3 linked regions of the Rattus norvegicus genome follow. The protein of the gene in region 3 interacts with the protein of the main gene of each other region in a pairwise test. Links are inferred from orthologs where the notes say so. Each region holds a gene or a part of one and is shown on either strand. Other genes may lie near its edges.

The links. The genes of interacting proteins can lie anywhere in the genome.
Region 1: the proteins of Erg28 (region 3) and Aqp2 interact in binary tests that used the Homo sapiens proteins (3 or more experiments, as listed by UniProt). The link is inferred for Rattus norvegicus from reciprocal best matches to the Homo sapiens genes ERG28 and AQP2.
Region 2: the proteins of Erg28 (region 3) and Tk1 interact in a two-hybrid assay, tested with the Homo sapiens proteins (2 studies listed by BioGRID and IntAct). The link is inferred for Rattus norvegicus from reciprocal best matches to the Homo sapiens genes ERG28 and TK1.

Annotation. Positions count from the first base shown.
Region 1 is NC_086025.1:132,588,370-132,593,589, forward strand, and holds the start of Aqp2 (aquaporin-2), read left to right. Parts: upstream 1-1,916; 5' UTR 1,917-2,000; coding exon 2,001-2,360; intron 2,361-4,935; coding exon 4,936-5,100; intron 5,101-5,220. UniProt on the Homo sapiens protein: Forms a water-specific channel that provides the plasma membranes of renal collecting duct with high permeability to water, thereby permitting water to move in the direction of an osmotic gradient. Plays an essential role in renal water homeostasis.
Region 2 is NC_086028.1:103,534,274-103,538,913, reverse strand, and holds part of Tk1 (thymidine kinase, cytosolic), read left to right. Parts: intron 1-3,214; coding exon 3,215-3,304; intron 3,305-3,579; coding exon 3,580-3,699; intron 3,700-3,777; coding exon 3,778-3,963; 3' UTR 3,964-4,640. UniProt on the Homo sapiens protein: Cell-cycle-regulated enzyme of importance in nucleotide metabolism. Catalyzes the first enzymatic step in the salvage pathway converting thymidine into thymidine monophosphate.
Region 3 is NC_086024.1:111,203,973-111,208,345, reverse strand, and holds the end of Erg28 (ergosterol biosynthetic protein 28 homolog), read left to right. Parts: intron 1-2,263; coding exon 2,264-2,382; coding exon of another isoform or gene 2,383-2,471; exon of another isoform or gene 2,472-2,488; coding exon 2,489-2,568; 3' UTR 2,569-3,243; downstream 3,244-4,373.

The sequences.
Region 1 (5,220 bases), on a different chromosome or scaffold from region 3:
CAAGTGGCTTTGGAACCACGGTCACAGTTCAGCTCAATACAGCCTGGGGGTTTTCCAGGCACCGCTGAGACAGGCAGGGAGAGGACAGGGAGAGGTGGTAGACACTACATACAAGATAGTATGTATCATGGAGGCACAGACATGATACAGTCCCTGGATAGGGTCCTTCACCCTTTTTGTGTGCCAAGTCTGGGTACCCTATGATTGAAGGAGAAAACAGAGTCACAAGTACCCTTCTCAAGACAAGGCTCTTCCACCTTCCCACTGAGTCTTTCTGGAGAGCCTGGATTGCAGGGGAGGACCCTGAGCAGGGAGCACTACCTGAGCCCAAGTCCTCAGACTCCTCTGAGGGCCTCTGTTGGTGTCGTGTATTCATTCTTTTTTTTTTTTTTCCGGAGCTGGGGACCGAACCCAGGGCCTTGCGCTTGCTAGGCAAGCGCTCTACCACTGAGCTAAATCCCCAACCCTCATGTATTCATTCTTATCTTGCCCCCTAACAGCAGGAGTTGCAAGTCATGTGTGGGAGGCAAGTGTGCATGTGCCCACGTTGTATACGTGGGTGTTTACTGTGCATCTTACTATGTTCTGAAAACTAAGGGGAGAAGCATCACTGTCTGGCCCTGTCTGGGCAAGGAGAGCAGGGCTCAGAGCAGACCTGGGCAGTGCAGGGTGTCAGGAAAGCACTCCTTGATGGGTTCTAGTCTGAGCTCAGCCACCAATCTTCTGGGGTACCCTGGGAAGAAATGGACCCTCCCTTAGCTTCAGTCACCCCTTAGTGTGTCTCCACCACATGCTCATCGGTTTCTCACACATTCCTGTCCCTTGGGCTATGGCTGGCCAGGGGGACTAGAAGCCTGTCATCTGGATGCACTGTAAGCACTCCTGCCTTTGGATCCCCAAAGAAGGAAGAGGCATCAGGTAGGTCAGTCTTCTGAGGCTCCACAGCCACAGGAGCTGTGAGGGCAGGTGACCTTGTAGAACACTGACCAAGCTGAGTGGTCCCGCCACCAGAAACATCTTCCTCCTCTGAGCTCAAAGATGGTACCTAGAGTCTGTTGTAGCCTCAGAGACTCTGAGTTTGGGGGACAGGACCTATTTACCTCAAAATGCAAATAGCACTGAGCAATGACTGACATAGTAACGCAGATCTCTATCCTACGAGATAGTTTTATTACCTCATCTATAGAGACAGAGCGGGGATGTCACATCTGGAGTGCGTGCTGCAGAACAGAAGCCCTTGTGTTTCTTGTTGGCTCTGGATGACTCTACCACACAGGGCTAGGGTCCCCGGGGGCCACTGAAGCCACCCTTGGCTCCGGGCAATGGGAGTTACTCTCTGGCTGGGGTTCCTGGGTGAAGGTGAAACATAATAACTTCTGGGTGATTAACTGCAAGAAAGCAAGCACAAGACCTTTGCCTTGGAAATCTGTCCCAGGCCAATCAGTTGTTTTCCATCCTCTTCCAGAAGAAAGACCGACCATCCAGTCAGCGGAAAGGTAGTTCCCACATTTTCTCACAGTTTGGGCTGAGGTGGTGCCCCTTCCTTGGCCAGCCTTTTAGTCGAAGAGAAGGTCACTGGACACGGTCTCCAATGCAGGAACTGGAACTGGTGGTCACTCTGGGGGCTGGGGAAGCCCTGGGGCAGCTCCCTGGAGTAACTGAGGAGAAAAAAAATGAGGAAAACAGAGGACGTCAATCCTTATCTGGAGTTCATTAACGAGGAGAACATTTAGTCAGCTGTGGAAGCTAAGATGGGACGATAGGGCCTTCAGGTGGGCAGGAGCATGGGTTGGGGCAAGGCCACCACGGGAGAGCATGGTGTGGGCAGGAACGCCTCCTCCATACCACGTGCCCAAGCCTACGATAGGAAGGTCCTATAAGTGCCCACGGTCTAGCCTCCCCAGAGGCCCAGAGGAAGAGAGAAGAGAAAGAGAGAGGGAGGGAGGAAGAGCCACCCCCGTGGCCCAGACCCCTGGCCAGCGCGCAGAAGTCGGAGCAGCATGTGGGAACTCAGATCCATAGCCTTCTCCCGAGCAGTGCTGGCTGAGTTCTTGGCCACGCTCCTTTTTGTCTTCTTTGGCCTTGGCTCAGCCCTCCAGTGGGCCAGCTCCCCACCCTCTGTGCTCCAGATCGCCGTGGCCTTTGGTCTGGGCATCGGCACCCTGGTTCAGGCTCTGGGCCATGTCAGCGGGGCACACATCAACCCCGCCGTGACTGTGGCATGCCTGGTGGGTTGCCATGTCTCCTTCCTTCGAGCTGCCTTCTATGTGGCTGCCCAGCTGCTGGGCGCCGTGGCTGGGGCTGCCATCCTCCATGAGATTACTCCAGTAGAAATCCGTGGGGACCTGGCTGTCAATGCTGTAAGTAGCCTGAGTTTTGTCTCCTCCAGGAGGGGCAGTCACTGAAAACCCTTGCGACGGGTAAGATGGGTGGGACAGGCTCTGGGTGAGGGAACGGAGAGCCGAAGGCCAGGAAGGCTAGGAACACAACTACCCAAGGAGAGCTGGAAGGAAAGCAACAGGGTCACCGGGAGCAGAATCCTGGTGGCCGCCTGTAGGGCCTTCCACCCAGCACCACCAAGGAACAGAAGTCTGGATTTCTATTAGACTCCATGGGAGGACTAGGCTAGACCCTAGCAGGACACAGCAGCCTAGCACAGACAGGCCTTGGGGGCCTTGGGGACTCCAGAGTGCAGTTACAGGGATCTAGAGAAGAAGATATCCCAGCAGCATTGAGCTTGTGAGGACTGGGCAGTGCCGCTCACAAGGCAACACTGACACTATGTAAGGTGGAGCAGGCTCCAGGCAGGAAGCACCCCCAAACCCTGATTCAACCCCAAAACCCATGATCTCTCCAGCAACCAACTATCCAAAGTGCCATCTGGGCTTTGTCTTCCAAACCAAGAAACAGACTTGGGAAGGGAGGCCAGAGATCAGATTTGTTAATACCAGAAGTACCAGAACCTGGCAGAAGCCTACAGGAAGAGACTCTTGGAGTCTGCCTTCATGCTATAATGGTGAAACAGCACCCAGGGCACTTTGAGAGTTGAAGGTGAAGCCATGGTCTGTCTGCTCTCCAATCTGCGCAGGCCTAGGAATGTGGGGACCCTGTCAGGATCCCAAACTAGGAAAGCAAGTGTCTCTCGGGGCTCCTCCCTTTTCATTTCTCTACTGAGTCAATCCCTTGGCCCTGCACACATACTCCTCTGCACATGGCTTTCCTCATGAGAGGGACAGAAGTCTCCCCATGAGGGACCACTCTTCAAAAACAGAAAAGGGGCAGGGGATCTAGAGCCACAAGGGGGCAAGGGGCAAGCTGAGGTGTGAAGGGTGTCTATACCTAGTAAAATGAGCTTGTTTTAAAACAGGGAGACATACAGCTAGTCAAAGAACCCCCTGAAAACATGCCATAGGCTTTCTCTAGCACCGAGGCCCTGGGAACACCAAAGCCCTGGGGAACAGCCATCCCTTATCCCCCATCCACCCACCACATATCCCAGCCTACCCACCCCTCAGCACCAAAGACTGTTTCTCTGCCTTGACCCACCTTAGGTGGTAGAGGGAGCCCTGTCTGTCTGGGATAGGGCATCGGAGGGCCCATTTGCCCTGAGGCTAGGGAGAGACCAGCAACCACTGAAGCAGTCAGTGTTCTCTGAGGATGCCACCAAGAGTCAGCTTGGACCCCAGGAAGCTGCCACTGATGGCGATCATCCCTGTGCCAGGTCACATACTATCTTGTCCTTGGTAGAGCACTGTAACTTCAGTTCTGAGCTCTCCCCCTCCCTATGGTTTAAATCCAGCATTCAGTGACCCAAATCGTGGAAGCAATAAACAGTACCATCCAAGGGACAGCCTGGGCTTGTGTGACACCAGACTCAAACCTACACCATCAGTCTCTGAACAGCATTGCCAGCAAGAGTGGGGCCAGAGGTTCGTCCTTGCCACCCTCAATCTTCTAGGGTTGGTTTTATCCTGCACATCTGTACAGAATGAGATACTGAGACTCAGATAGTCTCCCGTCGAGCTGGAGGAGGCCAAGGTGGGAGTCCCAAGTCCTTGTTCCTGTCTCTAAGGGGCTGTAGCACAGTAGAGGCTGAGGCTAGACCCCAGAAAGATCTTGAAGCATCAGGCTAGGAGCTCAGGACCTAAAGGAGTGTGGGAGTTGAAAGTTGTCACCAATCTACCCCATGCAGTGCTCAGCCCCAGAGGGCAGGGTGTGGGGTGCAGGATGACAAAACCCTGAAATGCATCGCTGGGTGTGGCCAGGTTATGAAATGGCCCCTGAGCTCAGCACCAAGTTCTCTTCTTTCCCGGGGTAGGGGCTGCAGGGACAGTGGGTACCCTATGTGGGTATGAAGGTCCGCCTTCAGCATCCTCAGACTCCACAGGATGTACAGGGAACAGCTATGGGGACAGAAGCAAGGCCTGAATGCAAGGGGTGGAGGGGAGGCAGAGAGAGGTGAGGGGAATTAGGCCATAAGTTCCTCCACCATAAGACCACAGAAAGACACTCTCACTCTCTCTCTCTCTCTCTCTCTCTCTCTCTCTCTCTCTCTCTCTCACACACACACACACACACACACACACACACACACACACACACACACCCTGTTGCATCAGTATGACCTAGAGCTCACACTAGCCTTTCTAGTACCAGGTCCAAAGCTTCCTGCTGCAACAGTAACCTCTTCCCAAAATCTGAAACACAGTATCTCTTTCCTCTCGCAAACCTCAGTCTCCTGGGCTGTCAGTTCTGAGACCCACCTCCCAGCCTCGGGCTGCCCCAGGTCCATCCTCTACCGTGGGACCAGGATTCAGAAGGGGCAGTGGTTACAATTGAGGTGGAGGATGGTATTCTGGCTCCGGAAGCAGGTGACAGGAAGAGGGGGCAGTGTGACCAGCCTCCCTAGACTCATCCCTCCATCTTTCTCTCCAGCTCCACAACAACGCCACAGCTGGCCAGGCTGTGACTGTAGAGCTCTTCCTGACCATGCAGCTGGTGCTGTGCATCTTTGCCTCCACCGACGAGCGCCGCGGTGACAACCTGGGTAGCCCTGCCCTCTCCATTGGTTTCTCTGTTACCCTGGGCCACCTCCTTGGGGTAAGTCACAGACAGCCACAGGTTCCAGCTGCCCTACAAGAACTAGAACATATATGTCCCCCAAAGAAACGGTCACCTATCGCTGTAGAGATGGATACATGCAACTCCCTAGACGAACTG
Region 2 (4,640 bases), on a different chromosome or scaffold from region 3:
ACATATGCAAGTCCTCATACACTCGTCGGATAGACATGTACACATGACTTTCTTTTTTTTTTTTCCGGAGCTGGGGACTGAACCCAGGGCTTTGCGCTTGCTAGGCAAGTGCTCTACCACTGAGCTAAATCCCCAACCCCACACATGACTTTTTTAAATTTTAAAAATAGTGGTCACATAAAGATGGCGTGATGTCCCAAGCAAGCAGCCTGTGACAACATAATAAACCACTCAATGGAAAATGAGTCCTGTGGCAGCAAGAGGCTTGTTCACAAACCTGGATGATGGTCCTGGGTGGTGGGGTTTGGGCCAGAGGCTCTGTATCACTTGATGACTTTCTGCTAGACTTTGCTGTGGCTCTCTGGCCGCCCACCAGTCTTACGCTCTACCCTGGAAGGAGAGAGGCTGTTTGGGTTTAGAGGAGGAATGTTCCAATCTGTCCCTCGTGTGCCCCCGACCCCCAGGATAGAATGAGAAAGCTCTGGCCATGATACCCTCGTCATGCTCTTGGCATCTGTCTATCCATTTGGACATGCCTGATCTGTTTTGTCCTCAGAGGTAAACCTTGGGAGTGCAATGGCTGTGCAGACGTTGACTTAGGACACAGTTTCCCCCCTCAGGCCTGCGGCAGTAGCCTGCTTACTCTGTGCTCTCCTGGTATTCCCAGAGGCCCAGCCGCACTCCCTAGGCACTACCTTCTTTTCTTTTCTTTCTTTCTTTCTTTCTTTCTTTTTTTTTTTTTAAAGATTTGTTTATTTATTCACTATAGCTGTCTTCATGCACACCAGAAGAGGGCATCAGATCCCGTTACAGATGGTTGTAAGCCACCACGTGGTTGCTGGGAATTGAACTCAGGACCTCTGGAAGGGCAGTCAGTGCTTTTAGCCGCTGAGCCATCTCTCCAGCCCACTACCTTCTTTTCTTAGCTCTTCCTGCTTGATAGACTCATACCCAGGTCTGGCACCAGCCTACCAGTCGCCCCAACCCTCTTCCCCATCCTAACCTATAGGAGAGATTTATTTCTATGCGCCCCACCCCCACCCCACCTTATGATTAAGGAAAACGAGTTCATTTAGTGGCTACTTGGAGTTTTGGGGTGGGGTCTTGCTTTGTGGTCCAGGCTAGATTAGAACTCGGGCCCCTGAGTGCTGGTATTGTGTAGTCATGGGCCCTCGCACAGGCTACAGTGAGTATTCAGTGTGCACTGTATAAACAACACAATTCTTGTGTGCTTCCGCCCCAGACTCTAGACCCTGTTCCTTACTAAGTTCAGGATCTCCTCGTGGTAACACAAGGAGATTGCCCTTCCTTCCTGTGTCCTCAGACAGTGGGTAGAGGGTCCTGTAGGGTCCCTGGAGCCAGAGCTGAGGACATAGAGCTTCCCGTGTGTTCATTCACCAGAAGCAGGGCCCACAGCTTCTGGGCAAGATTAGAAGCTTGCATCGTTAAGAACTTTGTTTCCCTTCTTTTTGACGCAGTAATGACAGGCTCAATGTAGGGCACAGCAGGAGCACACCAGACAAAGGAGGCTTGCCACTTAAGTGTCTTTGAACCAGAAACTACCAGGAATGCCCTGCGAGCCAATATTGTGGGTTCTAAAGCCTGCCACGGGGCAAACACTAGTCGTGGAACAGTGGCCCTCCGGGAGGGGACCGAGCTCCTTTTGGCGGAAGGGTGGTGCTTGTTTGATTGCTTCTGGCATAGACTGCACCTGCTTTGTCAGTGGTCACGTGAGACTGAGGAAGGGTCTTTATTCATGCGGCCAGGGTGCCTGCCTTGCCTGGTGTTGACCCAAGAGATTATGTTCAGCCAGTGCCAGGACTCTGATGAATGCCAGTCCAGCCTGGACGCTTCTAATTATACACGTGTGTTTTTATAGAGCAAGCCATGTCACATGCTGTGACTATTGTGGGAATGGCTGAGTCCAGGGACCAATCGCATCCATTCCAAGTTTCTGCCCTTTGGCTGCGGCATTCTAGGTCTGGAGATAAATCTGGAGCTTCCACCTCACCTCCGTTGAAAGACTAAAACTGGGAGGGACCGTGGAAGAAGAGAAAGGTTAGAACGTTAAGGTGTAGGGCAGAGATATGTTCAAGAAAAGGTCCAAGAACCAGGCAGGCAGGAGATTGCTTTGCAACCCAGGCCAGCCTGGGTTGCACAGCAGTAACCAATCAAAAGTGAGAGACAGAAGGGATGGGGAGACAGTTCTGTCAGTGAGGGAGGCCCTGGCTCTGCAGGCATGAGTGCCTGAGTTTGGGTCCCTAGCACCCGTGTACAACACTGGGTATAGCCACATGTCCATAATCCCAGTGTGAGGAAGGCAGAGACAGGCAGGCCCCTGGAGCTCCCTGACTAGGCAGCCCAGCCCAGTAGCTGTGCTCCAGATTCAGGAAGAGACCCAGCTCAAACGAAATGGAAGCGCCAGGCTCATAGCATAGGCCTTTAATCTTAGAACTTCAGGGGCAGAGGCAAGTAGATCTCCTGAGTTCAAGGCTAACCTGGTCTACACCCGTGCTGTGAAGGGGGAGGCTGGCCTGAGAGACAGTGGAAGGCGGAGGGCAGCTATCCCTGCCAACCTACTTACGTACGCCTTGTACATCTCATTACCAAGAGTCCCCCTCCTCCTTCCCTCCCTTCCTCCCTCCAGCTGTCCATGGGGGCTAAAAGTGCATGTGTGCATGTGAGGGTGGGTGCCTGCAGATGCCAAAAGAGGACATTAGCTGTCCTTGCATCTGGAGTTACAGATGGTTTGTAAGCTATCTGTTGTGGGTGCTGGGAATTGAATTCTAGTTATCTATAAGAACAAGCCATGCTTGTAACCCCTGAACCATCTCTCCAGCCCTGGTTTATTTTAACTTCCTAATCCTTCTACCTTTAAAGTAGTGGTATTGTGTTGGACACCTTGTCTGGCTCATTTGATGTGGGGGTAGGGGATGGGGGTGGAGCCAAGGGCTTCATGCACACTGTTTAAGCTGTTCAACCCCAGGGGGGTCTCGACCCACTAGTTGAGAACTGCTGTTCCAGCCTCTCTGGTATGTAGAGGCCTCTGTGGGCCAGCCCTGGGTAGCAGTGGGCATGCAGGTGGGATGTTTCACAGGAGTGGCAGTGCGGTCTGATCTCCGGCTCTGGGCTTACCTGTGTGCTCGGATCCCTCACCGTCTTCATGAGGCCCTTGCTCAGGACGGCTCACTTCATCCTCTCTGAACTTTCCTAGTTCCCTGACATTGTGGATTTCTGTGAAACGATGGCCAATACAGGCAAGACAGTGATTGTGGCGGCGCTGGACGGAACCTTCCAGAGGAAGGTAAAGATGTCTGACCCATGGCAGCGGTCTTGAGAGGGGAGACAGCATGCAAGGTCTCCCCATGCAGCTCTCTAGTGAAGCAGGACCAGTAAAGTATGATGTTGCTGAATCATGGGGTTTAAAAGAGAAGCGTTGGGCTGGGGGCAGCCCAGGCTGTAACACACTTGCCTTGCACACAGGCTTGCGTCAGTTCCGCAGAACTCCCTCCACACGCATACACGTGAACACAGGCAGGGAGGGAAGTGCCTGGCTAACACTTTTGCTGTCCTGTGTAGGCTTTCGGCAGCATCTTGAACCTGGTGCCCTTGGCCGAGAGTGTGGTGAAGCTCACCGCTGTGTGCATGGAGTGCTTTCGAGAAGCTTCCTACACCAAGAGGCTGGGCCTGGAGAAAGAGGTATCTCCTTGTGCTTCTGCCCACGGAGTGGGGTGGGCTTAGGCTTCTGAGTCCTCCCTCATACGCCTCTCCTACCAGGTGGAGGTGATTGGCGGAGCGGACAAGTACCACTCTGTTTGCCGCCTGTGCTACTTTAAGAAGTCTTCAGCCCAGACTGCAGACAACAAAGAGAACTACTCAGTGCTGGGGCAGCCTATAGAGATCCCGGCTGTCAGGAAGCTCTTTGCCCCTCAGCAAATCCTACAGTGTAACTCTGCCAACTGAGGGGACCCGGGGCCTGCCAGCTCCTTCCCCAGGTTGGACTCCCAGAGAGCAGGGAAAGGGGCGGGGCCTGCCATTCCTACTGGACATTGCACCTTGGCTTATCTGCTTGTTGAAACCTTTCTTAGTTCCCTTCTTATAATGGTTGTGAGCCCCCAACCCAACGCTTCTCTCTTAAACCCCGTGATTCAGGCAACATCATACTTTACTGGTCTTGCTTCACTAGAGAGCTGCATGGGGAGACCTTGCTGGAAATTGAACTTGGGACCTCTGGAAGAGTGGTCAGTCCTCTTAACCCCTGAGCTATCATTCCAGCACCTTTAGCTCCCTTCTTGGTTGCCAAGACACCTCAGCACAGACTGGAGCCCAGACCCTGCCTGGTGGCTCGGGTCTCACATTCAGCCAAAGGTGAGAACAGAGCCACCCAGCATTGTGACATTGGTGGTGCTAGCTTCTTCCTTGTTGGTGGCTTTCACTGCTGGGTTTCCGTTTCAGCCCCACACTTTACCAAGGCTCTAGCCTTCTCACAGCTCTCCCATATATGTATCCCTTGACCCCTACTGCCATTATAGCTCCAATCCTTCTCTGCTCAGCTCTCAGTAAGCCAAGGGAGTATGTTTCTTGTGCCCCATTACTTATAACTTACTTAGCCTGGGTTTCCCTAAATCTTGCAACTAGCA
Region 3 (4,373 bases):
CAGACCCCTTCATTAGAGCACACCTTTCTCCTACTAAAGAGCCCCTCAGGGTTTGGTTTGGTATCATTTCACAGTGCTAGGGGATCAAATGAAGAACCTTGGGCATGGTTGACAAATGCTCAAGCTCTGGGCTGCATCCCTAGTCCTATACACACCTTTTGCACCTTCCTCCTTAATCATAAATCCATGAAAAAAAAAATCTCTCTGTACATTCTTTCTTTCTCTTCCCCCTCCTCTCTCTCTCTTCCCATAGCAACTCCCCTGGCCTCTCTCTGTACACATTCTCTCTCTTTCTCTTCCCTCTCCCCTCTCTCTTTCTTCCCGTAGCAACTCCCCTGGCCTCAGTCCCTGGGGCCAGGAAACTTGCCCTAGAGCAGCTTACAATAAACCTGCATGTAAAAACCATAAATATAAAGAAACTGAAAGAGGCAAACACACGCCTCTTGAGTGAGGTGATGATGCCATACTCAGTTCTGGCCACTAGAGGGAGCCCAAGGTTTCTTCCCTGCGGTAATCACCACTGGCTAAGTAGAAGCAGTCATTGCTCAGTTCACTGGGTGAAGCTGTCAAAAGGCCAACCTCACGCTGAAATCTTTTTAATCTTGTCCCTCCCTTCAGCATGGGGGAAGAGAGGAAGCAATATTTATGGCTCCTCTCTGATTTTGTGAGGCACTTTCACCTACATGACTTTGAGTCTCTTAGCAACCCCTTGGGGGAAAGGGGTTAGTGATTCTTATTACTGATCTTGCAGTCTAAATATTAAAAAAAATCCAATTAATTTAAGTAGAGGAAGACTGACTCAAGTGGGATTTAAAGCAAGACTATTAGCCTTTGATCTTTCCATCTTTATTTTTAATTTTTTTTTAACTTGAAACTGAATTACATGTCCTAGATTGCGAACACATATTTTTAGAAGCAGGATGGTTTAGTGGAAACTGCCTGGGGTCAAGAAGGAAAACACATCCTGCTCGTCGTTTTGTTGGTAATCAGGCTGATTACTGTGTTCTCGGTCTGAGGGATGATAATAGCTGTTCTACCTCTCAGAGTGAATGAAAAGGCTGGAGAATCGGCTAATCATTTTGAGGACCTTTTACCACCATGAAGAATTGCTGATGGGTATCGGGGGTGTGGAGTGCTCCAGGTGAACAGAGAGAAGTCATCCTCTTCCCCCCATTCGTTGTTCCTTCTTCTGACCCAGAGCAGCTGCAAATGCTTTTCTGTCCTCTCTGGTTTAGGACTTTGATCCATAGACCTCTGACGTGCATCTGAGCTTATCAGCTCTCTAGCCGGAAATTCAGAATCACCTTGTGTTCACACACACACACACACACACACACACACACACACACACACACACACCAACAACAACATGCACCAGCATTATAAAAAGCAAATTTAAGATACTGGTTCTTTTAGAAAGAAAAGGGAGGAGAAGAAGACAGTCAGGGCAGGCTACGGGCATAAATGTTTTCAATTTTTAGTTCTTTAATGTAAAAATATCCCATCTTGGGGGCCTAGCTCAGAGGCAGAATGTTTTCCTGGCATTCATGAGGCCCTGAGTTTGATCCCCAAAACCAGAAAAAGGAATCTAAACCAAAATGTCCAAGTATTAAAACTGAAAGGGCTCAGTCCTTGTCACAGTTCACTATCTTGGAGTGTTTACTAAATTTTTTTCATAGTTTACAAAGAAAGAAAAAAAAAGACAACACAGACATCTAAAATTTCAATGGTCAGCCACCACCTTGTTATCAAAAGCGATGAACAAGTTCTTCTCCTCTGGGACTCTTACATGTCCTCCTCAGACCAAACTTTAGGCTGAGACATAAAGTAGCCAACGTGTACTGCAAGCGCATCTAAAAGCCTCGTGCTACCCAATCCCCGTTCAGTATATTCATTTATGGTTCCGGCATACAGCACGGGCTGGCACATAGCCAGGCACCTGCTAGGGTAGCCTTAGGTTGCTGAGTCTGTTGCTTTGCACTGAGTACATAAGTGACCCTAGTCCAGAATTGCTGCACTGTCCCAGACTGCAATCCAGACTCTCCACAGTGGAGTTCTCAACAAGTCCTAGAAGCCCACTCGGGCTGCTTGGCCCATGCCTCAAAACCTTTTGTCCCAGAAGAGGAGAACTTGATGTGATTAAGTAGCCAGGTGTGTCTGAGGAACGTGTGTCCTTTCAACTACAGTTGTGTCATATCAGCTGACACTTTCCGCACCAACAGTGCAGTAACTTTGGTTCCCATGTCTGTCTGTTCCCTTGCAGACTCTATCACATCACACTGTGGACATTCCTCCTTGCCCTGGGACACTTCCTCTCGGAGTTGTTTGTATTTGGAACAGCGGCTCCCACAGTTGGTGTGCTGGCACCCTTGATGGTAGCAAGTAAGCACTGGGCCACCCTAGACCCCTTCAGTGGCGGGGCTGGTGCAGAGGCTGCGCTGGGCGTGAGGTGCTGTTTCTATCACCATTAATCTTTTCTGTGTTTAAGGTTTCTCAATCCTGGGTATGCTAGTTGGGCTCCGGTACCTAGAAGCAGAACCAGTATCCAGACAGAAGAAAAGAAATTGAGGCCAACCTTGCCAGCTCTGAAACATCATGGTCTTCCACCTTTGCTCTCTTTATTCACCCTCTGTCCTTAAATCATTTCCTTTTGGCTGCATCCTTAGCTCCTTCTCTAGGTTCAGCATCTTAAGCATTTGAGAGGGTTTTTGTTTTTTGATTTTGGGGTTTTTTTATGTTTTTAAATTTTTTAAGGTATTAATAAGAAATTACATAACATGTATGTATAATTTAGAGTCATTTCAAAAATACTCTGTTAGACCTTCAAAGTCAAGGAATTTTGAGAAGCTCCCTAATGTGTCCTCCCCCTAGCTATAACCCCTCCAGGCTCCATTTTCTGTTCTTTTTGCTTTTTGTTGTTTGTTTCTCTGCATTCCTTGATTTGACTTGTGTGGTGGGAGCAGAACCGTGAAACTGCAGCTGCTGCCTGCCCAGAGCAGCTGCAAGCAAGGGCTGCTTCATGGGGCTAAGCACATATCTGGGCTCCTTTCTACGCTGGACCCAAGACTCGGAACCAGCCAAGGCACAGGCAGTTCTTCTGAGAAGGGCTGCCCTCGAGCAGGACCAGGCTCCTCTTATCTACAAGTGGATGAAGGTTGGAAGAGTCTGGGCTGTTTTTAGACATTTTGGTCAGTTGTTTTTGTGTAATGCATTTTGTAATAAATAGGGAAACCTTCTATTCTGATCCATCTTTGTACTTTGACCTTTCCTAAGAACCTTTTTACCCTCCAAACCCTCTGTACCCAACACAGGAACATGGTAGCCTGCTTTGCCTTTCCACCCACTGTTCTGACGGCTCAAGACCGGGAGAGCGAGGCTCCTCATTGTCCACCTGCTCACTTGTGTTCTTGATGCCAAATCTTCTTCCTTCTTCACCTTCAGGACTCTCGTGGGCAGCTGGACAGTTATGGCCTTTCCCATTTTCCTCCCAAAGAAGCAGACTCCTGAGAACAGATATGGGAAGTAGAGCAAAGCAGCCTGGGCCAAACGACATGAGTGTGTAAAGAAGCAAGGCCAGGCCAGGCGTGCTGGTGACACCTTTAATCCCAGCACTTGGGAGGCAGAGGCAGGTGGATCTCTGTGAGTTTGAGGCCAATCTGGAAAAGCCAGGAGAGAGAGAAAGAGAGACAGGCACAGACAGACAGACAGACAGACAGACAGACAGACATGCACGCACAGCAAGGGTGATGCCACCATATGAACTTCATACAGAATTCTGTAAGAAAGCCAGGTGTTTGAGTCAAGAGGTAGAGCTGATAGGTGATAATTAAATCGATCAGAAAGACCTCCCTGAGCTGGAGGCGGGTTAAGGGGGGGCGTGAGGGGGTGTCTCAGCTGAGACTCAAATACCCAGAAGGTGGATGTCTTGAGATTCAATGCCCAGAAGGTCATCTGAAGCATTAAATAGTCATTAAATGCCATCGAGGCATTTAGGGCAAAAAGAGCAGCAGCTGTGGAAGGAATGAGCACCGTGAAGCTACAGGAGGGTGAAGGCCTTGGCCGTGAGAGGCGGGAGGTCAGAGGACAGAAGTAGTCAGTAGACAGAAGTAGGAGGATGGCCAGTTTTTAGCTAAGTACATAGAAAGCATCAGTGCTTTACAGGGAAAATTTGCCTTAAATGACTTTAAACAGTAAGCATGCCGTGGATGCTGTAGCCAACAAAGAAGGCTTCCCGGGGTTTGGCGGTGCTTCGGTAAGGTCTCCAGCTCTCATTTGGTGAAGCTTCTCCAGCTTTGCACAGCCCTGGCTGTGACTCAGGCTGGCTTCATTTGTAGTGCCAAAAGAGAATGCAGTTCCAGACCTCAGATCCCCAT